2 linked regions of the Coturnix japonica genome follow. The protein of the gene in region 1 interacts with the protein of each later gene in a biochemical or structural test. Links are inferred from orthologs where the notes say so. Each region holds a gene or a part of one and is shown in the gene's direction. Other genes may lie near its edges.

What was found.
Region 2: the proteins of PINK1 (region 1) and BAG2 form a complex in vitro, tested with the Homo sapiens proteins (2 studies listed by BioGRID). The link is inferred for Coturnix japonica from reciprocal best matches to the Homo sapiens genes PINK1 and BAG2.

Annotation. Positions count from the first base shown.
Region 1 is NC_029536.1:4,264,085-4,270,396, forward strand, and holds the start of PINK1 (serine/threonine-protein kinase PINK1, mitochondrial), read left to right. Parts: upstream 1-2,164; coding exon 2,165-2,182; exon of another isoform or gene 2,183-2,426; intron 2,427-2,630; coding exon 2,631-3,017; intron 3,018-3,810; coding exon 3,811-4,077; intron 4,078-4,321; coding exon 4,322-4,425; intron 4,426-5,451; coding exon 5,452-5,634; intron 5,635-5,990; coding exon 5,991-6,154; intron 6,155-6,312. UniProt on the Homo sapiens protein: Serine/threonine-protein kinase which acts as a sensor of mitochondrial damage and protects against mitochondrial dysfunction during cellular stress.
Region 2 is NC_029518.1:79,191,510-79,197,831, reverse strand, and holds the end of BAG2 (BAG family molecular chaperone regulator 2), read left to right. Parts: intron 1-3,056; coding exon 3,057-3,166; intron 3,167-3,769; coding exon 3,770-4,170; 3' UTR 4,171-4,676; downstream 4,677-6,322. UniProt on the Homo sapiens protein: Co-chaperone for HSP70 and HSC70 chaperone proteins. Acts as a nucleotide-exchange factor (NEF) promoting the release of ADP from the HSP70 and HSC70 proteins thereby triggering client/substrate protein release.

The DNA of each region.
Region 1 (6,312 bases):
ATGATGCCCAAGCGCACACGTGGGGCGTTATCCCTACAGGGCGTTGCAATCAGGGCAATATTTAACCACGTCGGCGTCATCGTGTGGGGCAGGCAGTGCAGACATGGAGGGCAGTGAGTGCCTTCAGCTGCTGCTTCGCCGCTGTCGTGAGGCCAAAGATTGTGCCTACTGCCCCTACAGCCGCTTCCCTGTGGGTGCCGCGTTGCTCACCGCCAATGGGGAGATCTTCTCCGGTGAGATATTGCTTTGGGGTTGTGGGGTAATGGTCTATTTGGGTTCCGGGGGGTCACTTTGGGATGGTGCCCCCCACTATGGGTTCTGGGGTGTTGGCTGTTTTGGGTTTGGCTTGAGCCCTGTGGGGTTTTGGGGTGGTGGAGCCTTTGGGTTTGGAGTGATTCCCTTGGGGTTTAGGGTGGCATTCGCTTTGATAATCTCTTTTATGTTTTTCTGGGGGGCTTTTAGTGCCTCCTTTGGGCTTTGGGGTGGTTCCCCCAGTGATTTTGGGGCAAACACTTTGTGTTTTGGTGGTCCCCCTATGATTTTGAGGCAGTTCCTTTGGGTTTTTGTGTGGTTCTCCCTTTGGGTTTTGGGCAATCCCTTTTGTTTTTGGAGCGTTGCACCTTTAGGTTTTCAGATGGTTCCCTCTTTGCTTTCTGGGGTGGTTCCTCCTTTGCTTTTTGGGTTGGTCCCCTCTTTGCTTTTGGGTTGGTCTGTTTGGGTGTTGGGGTGGTGCTCCCTTTGGGCATTGGGTGATTCCTTTGGCTTTTGGAGTGTTTCACCCTTTAGGTTTTGAGGTGGTTCCCCCTTTTCTTCTGGGGCAATCCCTTTACTGTTTGGGTGTTCCCTTTGCTTTACGGGGCAGTGTCCCCTTTGACTTTTATGCAATCCCTTTGCTTCTTGGCATGCTTCCCTCTTTGCTTTTTAGTCAATCCCTTTCCTTTTTGGAATGCTTCCCTTTTGCTTTATGGGGTGGTGAGTGATGCTGGTGCTTCCCTATAGGATGCAACGTAGAGAATGCCTGCTACAGCCTTGGGATGTGCGCTGAGCGTGCAGCCATCCTAAAAGCCATCTCCGAAGGGCACACACGCTTCAAGGCCATGGCCATTGCCAGGTGAGGCCATTGGCACCCATGGCACCACATCACTCTATGGGTTTTAGGGTGATGCCCCATTTGGGTTTTGTTCAATCTCTTTGGGGTTTTGGCGTAGTGCTCCCTTTTGGGGTGCTGCCCACTTTGGGTTTTGGCTGATCGCTTTGTTCAATGGGGTGGTTCTCCCTTTGAGTTTTGGGCAGTCCCATTGGGTTTTGGGGAATCCCTTTGGGTTTTGGAGTGTTCCGCCCTTTGGATTATTGGCTATTCCTTTGGGCTTTGGGGAGGTACCCCCTTTGAGTTTGGGGTGATCCCTTTGCTTATTGGGATGGTTCTCCCTCTAATTCTGAGGCAATCTCTTTGGTTTGGGGGGTGATTCCCCCTTTGATTTTAGGGCATCCCCTTTGGGCTTTGTGGTGGTGCCCCCTTTGGGTTTTGGGTAATACCCTTTGGGGAGGTGCCCTATTTAGGTTCTGGGTGATTTCATTGGGTTTTGGGTGATCCCTTTCTTTTCCAGTGTGGTTCCACCTTTAGTTTTGGAGCGATCCCTTTGGGTCTGGGGGAATCTCTTTGGGTTTCTATGTCTGATTCCCTTTGGCTTTTGGGATGGAGTGATACTGAACCTGGTGTGGCTCTTTTGCTTTGGCAGTAACATGTCAGACTTCATCACGCCATGCGGGGCCTGCAGACAGGTGATGAGAGAGGTGAGTGGAGCCCCTGCCATGCTGGGGGCATGGAGGGCCACAAGGAGCTGCAGGCCACCATGGATGGGGGCCACCCCTCCATCTCTGGGCTGAACAAACTAAGGGAGCCCAGCAGTTGAGCTGAGCTGTGGGTGCTGCAGCATGGATTCCCTATTGACCCTCTCTCCTGCTTTTCTCCTTGTAGTTTGGCACAGACTGGGACATCTACCTGACCAAACCTGATGGCACCTACATTGTGAAGACACTACGGGAGCTCCTGCCACTCTCCTTTGGCCCCGAGGACCTGCAGAAGGCATGAACTGCACACCTGCATTTCCCTTTCAGCACCTTGGATCACTCCCCCTCTATGCAATTGACTCCATTGGGGACAATGGAGTTTGCTCCATGGGTGTTGCTTGGATCCAATGCAGCCCAACAGGGGATAAAAAGCAATATCAGCTCCAGTTCCCAGCATTATCCAGCAGCCATTTGTGCACTGTGTTCACCGTGCAGCCAATGTGATGCCACAGCTCCTTTTTTTAGCCTATTTTTCTCCTTTCTCTCTATATTTTTGCTTGCTTTCGTGAGGACAAAGAGCAATTCCTTGACAATGAAACAGCAATGGAACAAAACCCAATGACGTGTTACTTTAACGAGGCATGCTGTGCTCTGTGCCCTGTTGGACCATGCCCTGCGTGCTCAGTGCTGTGTGCACTATGCCCTCCATGCACTCACTGCACTCCATGCACCAATGCATGCTGCACCAATGCAACCTGCAGCAGCACCTTAAGCCCTCACCTTGCGCATGCGCATTGCGCATTACGCGCTTCCTCGTAGCCACGCCCCCTTCCTCATAGCCACGCCCCCTCCCCATAACCACGCCCACTTTCCCTGTAGCCCCGCCCCTTCCGCTTCCGCCTTCTTCCCGCCTCTTCCTGAGGCGCTCGGTGGCCGCCATGTTGTTTCGGGTGCTGTTATCCCGGGCCTACCGCCTGCTGCCCGGCCGCCGCCCCCTCCCCATCCCCGTCCCCCCTCCTGTCCCCTCAGCCGTTCCTCCATCTTCCCTCTTTTCCCGGCTGCCATTCGGCCGCTTCTTCTCCTTCAGACGCCCGGCTGGCCTAGCGGCAATGGCGGTGCGGAGGGTCCGGGCCGGGCCTTGTATGGCGTTGGCGTTGGGGCTGGCGCTGTTGGAGCCGCCGTTGGAGGAACAACGAAGAGCGAGGGCGGCGTGTGGCCGGATCCAGGTGTGGGGCTACGGGGAGGGGTTGGACGTGATGAGCTTAGTGGCCTTTTCCAGCCTTAGGGGGGTTCTGTTGTCCCCATGGTTACAGCCTGAATGGCAGCCTCTGGCTGCGGCTTTCGGTCTGTCTTTGTGTGTGGAATCGCTGTATTATTGGGTTGGAAGGGATCTCGGAGCCCATTCAGTACCAACCCGTGCTTTAGGCTGGTTGAAAATAAGGCCATTTTGCACTTAACAGTCACTTGGGCTTTCCTGGTTGATTAAAAGGCATTTTGCTCTTTCCAAGCACTCCAGCTTTCCTTTATTGTGCAGTCTTTGCAGAATCACAGAATGACCCGTGTTGGAAGGGACCTCAAGGATCACGTAGTTCCAACCCCCCTGCCTGGCAGGGCTACCAAACATACACCTTTACTAGATCAGGTTGCCCAGGGCCCCGTCCAACCTGGCCCTGAACACCCCCAAGGACGGGGCATCCACAACCTCCCTGGGCAGCCCGTTCCAGGGCCTAACCACTCTGCTAGTAAACAACTTTCCCCCTAACATCCAACCTAAATCTTCCCTCTTTCAACTTAAAACCATTTCCCTGTGTCCTGCTATTGTCAGCCCTTTTGAAGAGTTTACTCCCCTCCTGGGAGTAAGTTCCCTTCAGGTATTGAAAGGCTGCAGTGAGGTCACCCCGCAACCTTCTCTTCTCCAGGCTGAACAAACCCAACTCCCTCAGCCTGTCAATAAACTGAATAGTCTTGAATAAACTGAATGCTTTTCTCATTCCACTTTTCCTTCGTTTTTCCTTTCAGACGGTGTTTGTTGGGAAGAACAAGGCGCAGAAAGATCCGCTGAGCTCTTTGCGATGGCGGGGCTTTAAGCTGGAGGATTATCTCATCGGGCAGCCCCTTGGGAAGGGCTGCAATGCTGCTGTCTATGAAGCAACTATTCCTTCATCCCTCCATCGCCAGGGGAGCACACAGAGCTCAGCTCTGCCTGTGTCTGAAAAGGAGCCGGCAGATAAAAGCCAACAGCAAGCTGCCTTCCCCCTGGCTATCAAAATGATGTGGAACATCTCGGTAAGGAGTCAGCTCTTAACATCCTCCTTGTGTGTCTGGATATGCCCAGAGTTAGGTTACACAGGGCAACCTGATGTGGTGAGGGGCCACCCAGCCTACATAATGTCTTGGAACTGGATGATCTTTAAGGTCCTCTCCAGTCTAAGCCATTCGATAAGGACAAGACATTGAATGCCTGTTGTTAGTGACAAGTCACACAGCCAGTCATTATTCCTGTGGAGCTGACAGCACGTTGCTGTTGCAGGCTGACTCTTCAAGTGAAGGCATCCTGCGCAATATGCACCGAGAGCTCGTTCCAGCCACACAGACTGCTTTAGCTGGGGAATATGGAGCCATCTCCCATCGCAGGTACAGTATCCATCGCAATGACAGCTGTTCTCAGGGTATTATGTGCTAATTTGATCCAGCTTGATCCATCGGTTTCGTTCTGCAGCACGTCTGTGCTGTACAGAATGCAGCTGGAGGTTTCTGTGATATCTTATGGGAAGAACTGAGCATGAATCCTTGGGATTATTCCATGTGTGTGTGTGCCTTAGCTAAATGGCACTGCCTTTGTTGGTGCTGTATGCCTCAGTTGCCATGCAAGAGCACGCTTCTGCCTATCCTAGTGACTTCCCTCTAGTGAGGGAACAGCGTAGCAGTGGTGCTGTTCAAATAGTAATTTAAAAGTCTTGTTTGCTTTGAGGAGCACTTGGCATGCAGGAGATACCTGCAGCTTGGCCGTGTGCTTCCCTCCAGTGTCTTAGTCTTGAAGAGTGTTGGAAGGACATGGGATGATTAGGAACCCATCTGCTTTGGGTCTGATGGGGCACTGTGCCTCAGCTTCCCCATGTGTAAAGTATGTAAATTGCATTGCTCTCTGATAATGAGTAAGTTAACTGTTGGAAAAGCAGTGAGAACGTACTCCACAGTCCAGACTGCCTGATTTACACTTGAAATATGTCTCAGTTGACAGTATAGATGAATAACAAATGCTGCTTGGTGTGTTGTTACCCTGGGAATGCAATGAAGCCAAAGGACTATCTGATGTTCAGAGAGGAGAGCTCTGTTTTGCAGTTGCATAGTCAGTAACCTGAATGCTTCCTGTCTGTGCTAGTAAATACGAGGTCTAAGGTGATATGTGGCAGTGTGAATCTGGCCTTTATTTTCAGTCTAAAAGGACAGGGTTAGTAGAAAATGAAAGGCTGCATGTTGAGTGTGAGTGTTTCTGCTTATCCATCACACTGCAGGAAATCCAGTCACAAGGTGACAGCAGAACAGACATATTTATCTGCTGCTTTGGAACCCTTTGGTGGAGGGGATGTACCATAGTAATGAAAAATAACCCTGGAGGTCATAGAGATCAGTGTAACTTATGTCTGTATCTTTACACAGAGAACCTGTCCTTGGGAGGAAGAGATTGAGACCTCATCCAAATATAATCCAGGTGATCCGAGCTTTCACATCCTCTGTCCCGTTGCTGCCTGGAGCCCTCACAGACTATCCTGATGTTCTTCCAGTGAGCCTGAATCCCAGAGGGATCGGTCGCAGCCACACACTCTTCTTAGTGATGAAAAAGTAGGTGGGGAGAAGCTTGTTGGGGGCTGGAACTTTGTGGGGTTGCCCAGCAGAGCTGTGTGTTCTGCTGCATGGGTCCTGCTAGAGATTTGGCCTGGGTTGTTGCCAGAAGTCAGAGTACACTCTTGGAAACGTGGCTTCTGAGAGCTGTTGAGATCCTTGAGATTTTAGCTCTTGTTCAACAATAAAGGCAAGCTGTCTGTGCTTGTGACTCAGAAATTGAAAGGCATGGCAAAGTTCAGGAGGAATTTGGCACTTCTAAGTGCAGTGTATCCCCAGCCAGACAGCACTGAAGTCAAATGGGAAAGGAAAGGCTTCTGGGATGCTAATTCAGGTATCATCTGTGTTCTGACCAGCTATCCGTGCACCCTGTGCCAGTATTTGAAGGACAACAGCCCAGATACCCGACTGTCCACCATGATGATTTTGCAGTTGTTGGAAGCCGTGGATCATCTCGTTCGACACGGGATAGCACACAGAGACCTGAAGTCTGACAACATCCTGGTTGAGTTTGATTCTGGTATGTAGATCACTGGGTGTAAGGCTGTGTCTGTGGACATAGAAGGTTGTGCTGTAACCTGAGGGAGAGGTGCAGGATGTGCTGCACAAGCAAAGCAAGTGTTGGCTTGAAGGCATACAGGACTGCCATGCTCGCATTGCTGGCATTAGGCTGTGTCA
Region 2 (6,322 bases), on another chromosome or scaffold:
CCAGCGGGCGAGCTGCAGTGAGCTATTTCTGCAAGCCCCTGGTTAATGCGTTATTGCAGCTGTCCCAGGAAAGCGGATATCACGTTTCTGCTGGTGGAACAAAGCGTGGGTCGGCCCACCTGTTCCTCCAGGGAATGCTCTGCTCATGTCCATGGCATGCAGAGAAGAACGGCATGGCACCTCTCATCGCTCTCAGACCAAGGCAAGTCAGGAGTGAAGAATGGTTCTTTTAGGCTCAGACGATCCGCGGAATATTAAACTAATGCTGAAAGCAACAGATAAACTCCATCCATAAGGATGTCATTGGATATTTTCACCCAGCAGAAAGAAGCCCATACTGCTGCACTCACCACAGTAAGGCACAGACCTGACAGCCTTCTACAAGGAGAGGAAGCTGCCAGAGTCGGGTCTGCCTTAGGCACTGTGCCCTCGCTGCCAGCAGAGCAAGCTGGGGAGGGGCAGTCAGGAGCCCACAGAAATGGCCGCTGGCGTGACTGGGTGTGTAATCCTGTCTGTCAATCTGATACCCACTTGTGACCTTTCCAGGCCCCCTTCTCTGTGGACAGAGGCTATATATCGCCAGTTCAGATTGTATTCACGCATGGCGATTTATTTTCTTCCCTTCTCTTCCTTCTCTTTTTTTTTTTTTAAAGTCAGTCAGTCACTGAAATACCTAGTGGTAGGAACCCACACTGTTACCTTGACAAAGCCTGCCTGCATCTCCTCAGCACGTTCCCCTACCTGTCTCTCTCTCTTCCTGCATAGACCAATACAGTGCTGTTTGTTTCCTTCTACCCAGTCTGCGGGTTCCTGAAGAAGTCACAGAATCACAAGTCCTGCCCTGCTTGTGGTCCAGCTCCCCATAGCTACAGCCATGCCCTTCTCAGCCCTTTTCTCCTGCCCTCTGAGTGCATTTCTCAGGCTGATGACTGAACTCCAGAACCCAGCCCTGCGTGTTTCTGAGTGAAAGCTCACAGGTTCTCATGGTCTGGCCCTCTGGTGCTGCTGGGTGGAGCCTATAAACAGGAGGGGAGTCAACTCTTTGAAAGGGCAGATAACTGCAGGACAAGGGGAAATGGCTTTAAGTTGAAGGAGGATAGATTTAGGCTGGCTGTCCGGGGGAAGTTCTTTACTATGAGAGTGGTGAGGAGCTGGAACAGGCTGCCCAGAGAGGTTGTGGATGCCCCATCCCTGGAGGTGTTCAGGGCCAGGTTGGATGGAGCCCTGGGCAGCCTGTTGTAGTGTTAAATGGGGAGGTTGGTGGCCCTGCCTGTGGTGGGGGGATGGAGCTTCATGATCCTTGAAGTCCCCTCCAACCTGGGCCATTCTGTCATTTCCTCAGCAGTGGTGCAGGGAGCCAGCTGGGGATCAAGTGCTGGGCGCCCTGCAGGTTTGTCACAGCTGATTTAGTTATAAACTTATGTCAATCAAAGGTGTGATTGGTCATTGTTTTTGGTACACAGTCGTTGTCTCTGACAGTCTGGCTTTGTAGGCCATGAACTGGTAGCTTGATCTTGGACGCAGAGCTGGTAAGAGCCACGGGTCAACCTGCGCACTGAGGGCAGACCTTTGCTTTTGAGTCAGGGCAGTGCCAGACTTGAGTTGATGTAAAAATGCTGTTAAAAGTGAAATTTTGCACTTGTTTCAGCTTTCTGGGGACCAAAATGGACTTTCCAAATGGTGACAGTGCTGGTTTTTTTTAAAGGCACGGCGAGGCACGTATGAAAATTCTGCTAGACTTCCTAAATTATAAAGTGCTGACATCTGAAGTATGAAGTGGCTCCACCTGCCCTTATTACTCTTACTAACCCATCCAAAATAACAATTAAGAATATTTGCTCCTGGCAAGAATTTGCATTGCATTAACTTTTCCCATTCCTCCTCACATTAACATGAAAGGGAGGGCCTGAAGCGTGTGGTTTCACTGGGGAACTCAGCCTAAAGATTTCGTCAAACAGAGCCATTCCTTGAGCTCAGCGTGCGTGAGGCGTGTGGGTACTGAAGGCCCTGAGTTCCTGGCCCCACCTGCCTTCTCCCTTTTCCCAGCACCACCACGGAAGAGCACTATAAAGCAAGGAAGAAGAATGAACTGGAGAGTTAGCAGTGCTTCGGTTTGCTTTCGCTTTCTGGACAGACTTAATGAATATACCAGGCCGGGTGCATTCCCTGCCTGTTTGCAGCATCAAGGTCTCTGAGCTGTGTTGAAAGCATCCCAAGCCATTGGCCAGGTTCATGTGATGCTTTGCTTGGACTTGGGATCTCTCCAAGCACCCAGCAGGCGCAGTCAGGAAGGTGCCCCTCCTGCCCCTTCTCTCCTAGGCAGCTGTTCCCCTTGTGCTGCTCTAGGTGACACTGCTCTGAGCAAAAGCCCTCTCCTAAAAGCCGTGGCAGGGAAGAAGCCATGGGTTGTGGGTGAAGAGTGGCAACGCAGCAGCACACAGCTGGGCAGCTCTCTGGCTGAACAGCTCATGGCACAGTGTTGCCCCGTGCCTGACCCCTTGGCAGCAGTGTGCCACGTGTCAGGTTCAGCACAGTGAGTTGTGCAGGGAAAGGGTCTGATTTCAGGATAGCTCAACTGCGTGCTTTCCTGCAAGCCCAGAAATAGGAGCTGACCAGAACAGAGCTTCATCCTCTGTGAGTCACAGCCTCCTGCCAGTTTGCTGCATCTTTATGGAGAGAAACAAACCACAGCGACGTGAAAGCAGGCGCTTGGCAGGACTACCCATAAAGGCAACAAAACATGCTCACCTTGCCTGTCTGTCCCATTCTTCTCACATTACAAAGGAGCTGGTTGTTTTCTATCTATTGGCTCATGTATTCAGTTTTAGAATGATTTTGTGTCTTGAAAGATTAAGTTTTTATGTAGGTGGGGGTCATGGAGTCAGAATGTCTGGAGCACAGATACTTGCAAGCTGACTGCACTTGCAGTGGGGCTCTTTTGTTGATTTTTTTTTTTTTTTTTTTTTTTTTTTTGTTTAATTGAAAGATCTTGGCAGTTTTATGGGGGAAAATGTGTTTTATTATTGAAAGACTTTGTTTGGTTTAACTACGCCCAGGGTAGAGGCTTTCCGTGACGCAGCATCTGCTATGGAACAAGAAAAAGAAACCCTGCTAGAAATGATCCACAACATACAGAACAGCCAGGACATGAGGCACATCAGTGAAGGTGAGAAGCTGCTTTGCCATCCCCTCCTGTCTGCCCTAAAAGCAGACCAGCAAGGGGAGCTGCTCCAGTGCTAAAGGCACCATGCTGGAGCTGGCAGAGGATACCGATGGGCCTTCCCTCCCTCTGGGGTCCCCGTTTCCTTTTTGCTAATGGCCTCTAACTGCATCTGGTAAGCAAAGTAACTCTTCTGTCTGTGGCCTTTCGAGGTGCCGTGTATTTATACTCTTTCTCACAGCAGCATTGAGGGTCCATCCCTCACGTGCCTGCTTTTGTAATGATCAATGCTTCCTGATATGGTGCTTTACTGCAGTGTGACAAAACAAGCACTGTGTCAGCAGTGGAAAAACATCGCTTATACCTTTCTTAAAGCTTACAGCCTAATTTCAGATCAGAAGACACCAGCCTCTGTGACATGGGTGGGACTCAGGCACGTAGATGTAAAACCTCTGGCCCCTGAAAATCAATCTGATTGTCACCTCTTAAAAAGAAAAGAAACAACAGACATCCATGTTGGCACACGGTAGCACTTTGCTTGTCTTGGTGATGTAAAGGCACTGGGAGGTGTTAGTCAGTAACACAGGATACCTTCTGCTTTCGCTTTAGGTGAGAGAGAAGAACTTAACCTGACTGCCAACCGTCTGATGGGCCGAACCCTCACTGTGGAGGTTTCTGTTGAAACCATCCGTAACGCCCAGCAGCAGGAGTCCCTCCTGCACGCCACCAAGATGATCGATGAAATCGTCAACAAGCTCCTGGATGATTTGGAAGACGCCAAAATCCGCTTAATGTCGCTTTACGGCGCGTGCACGTCTGATGTGCCGGCAGGACCCATTGATCAGAAATTTCAGTCCGTTGTCATTGGATGCGCTATCGAGGATCAGAAGAAGATCAAAAGAAGGTTAGAGACTCTGCTCCGAAACCTGGAGAATTCTGAGAAGTCCATCACGTTGCTGGAGCATCAGAAATCCTCGATGAGGCAGCCTTGCATCACCAAACAGGATTAATCTGCCTCGTGGCTACTTCTGGCAAACCACAGAGTGATCCAGTTCTCCATAAAAGCACACAGAAGCTATAAGGAAAATCTCTGTTTACAAGTACACGCATATATACGCATACACATGCACCACGGTATCTTGGATTGCAAGGTGCAGGCATTCTATGGGTTGCGGTAGCATTGGCATTTTGTTTCAGCAATAAGGAATGCTATCATGATTTCTTCTGTAGAGTTGATGCTGCTCTGTTGCAAGTTGTAATGTGCTTCTGCTGAACTGTCAGAATCGATCAGAATCTTGCCTGTCCTCCATTCTCCTCCTTTTATAGAAAAAAACAACTGCGGTTGTTTGGTCATATACTGCGATACCAACTTTTCTCTGCTCTATACATAGTGTGTGAAATAGACTCTTGGGGGAAAAAAAAAAAAGACAAATCATGGCAATAAACAACAACAGCAACAACAAATCAATAAACTGCATATTGTATTTTCATAAACAACACAATGTTTTACTCTTTACTGTGTTGTTCATCATCCTTAGAAGAGAATGACAGATCCTGTGTGTGTCCAAAGAGGCTCAGAGCCCCCACTGAGCAGCCTGTTGTTCTGCTGTTAGTTCACTGAAGGGCAGCATTCTGCTGGTGCTGCAGGGGGCTGCGCTGCTCAGCCCTCACCTGACCTCCAATTGAAGCTCAGCTGTTGGCGCTGTGGGAGGGAAGAGCAGCGCGGGCAGCTGCAGCACCCTGCGTGCGAGGAAGCCTCCACACCTGCAGCAGATTTCTTGCAGTGCCCACCTGAGCTGGGAGCTCATCTCAGGTCCATCTGCACAGCCACCGAGCTCTGCGTCTCCAACCTGTGCCATACGCACGGTGTTGGGACCGCTGCTCTGTGCTTTGGGAGCTTCCAGCACTGCAAGGGCATCGCTGCTGCCATGCATGGGCAGAGATGGAATTGAGATGGGGACCTCCACAGCCACCACATCTTCAGCTATGAGGCTGTGCCTGCTTCCCAAGAGTAATTATAACAATATACATGAGAGGTTCTTGGAAATTGCAATGTGGAATACTTACATTGAAAATAGCACAGTGAGGCTTAGAATATTTATTTTTTAATGGCCATTATCAGGTATTCAGGATGGTACGGAACACGCCAGCTTTAAAGCTGGCGGTACTGTCTGAAGTGTCTCCCATGCCATCACACAGCTGTAAGCCATGGCAAAAAGCATCTGCTGTGCATTCTGCTCCTTTCACACTGGCTCTCCAACATCCATCCCTGTTAAAGTAACTTCAAGCAGCCAAACGTAGCTGGCAATGCAGGTGATAGAAACCAAGAAGAAAAATGTATTGAAGTTGTTATTTTGTAAGGGCTATCTGCTGCCAAAATCAAAACAGTAGGTGAGGCTCAGCAGGCCTAAGACAAAGGTGTAGGAAAGGCACCAAAGTCGCCTGTTGTTTCCTGAGCGCTCAAACAAGGCTCTGCTCCACCTTCCAGCGTATGTCAGCCCCGAAAACAAGACTGAAAGCACCCAGCTGTTCCTGGTGGTTCCCTGGGGCCTGGCGGTAGAAGCTGCCTGGTTTCCAAAGCACAGCACACAAAAGCCCAACCACAACAGCGTGACAGCTTCTGTCTGCATGAGGCTTTCGCTCACCTCTGACCTCAAAATGCTCAGCACAAATAGGTGAGTTTTCTCACATGAAAAGTTTCTGCTTCCCTCAAACACTGCTAAGTAATTCTTATCCGGGTATTATGCAAATAGATGGTTTCTCTGCGTGCTACATTGCATGCAAGAGGAAGCAGCGCTGTATTACTTTTCAGACTCCTGGGATACCTGGAAGGTAAGAGGCAGACACAGATGCCACAAGTTCTACTTTACTTTAGATGAAATTAAGCATGAAAATCAACACACTGGTTACCTCTGTTTGCGTTCAGAAAATGCATCAGACCTATTAATACGTTGCTAATTTAAGCTCTGTCACTATGTCAGCCAGATCAATTATGAAAACTAAAAAGACCTCGGGGAGCAGAAGAGAATCCATATTTTCTGTTGGAGTTCTGTGGTGAAGAAAAAAGGGGCGGGAGCTCAGCAAACGCGTCTCAATTAGCTGGGGATGCCCACACTGTTCTGAGGAGGCGGGAGGGTGCCTGTGCCGCATGGATCCCAGCTG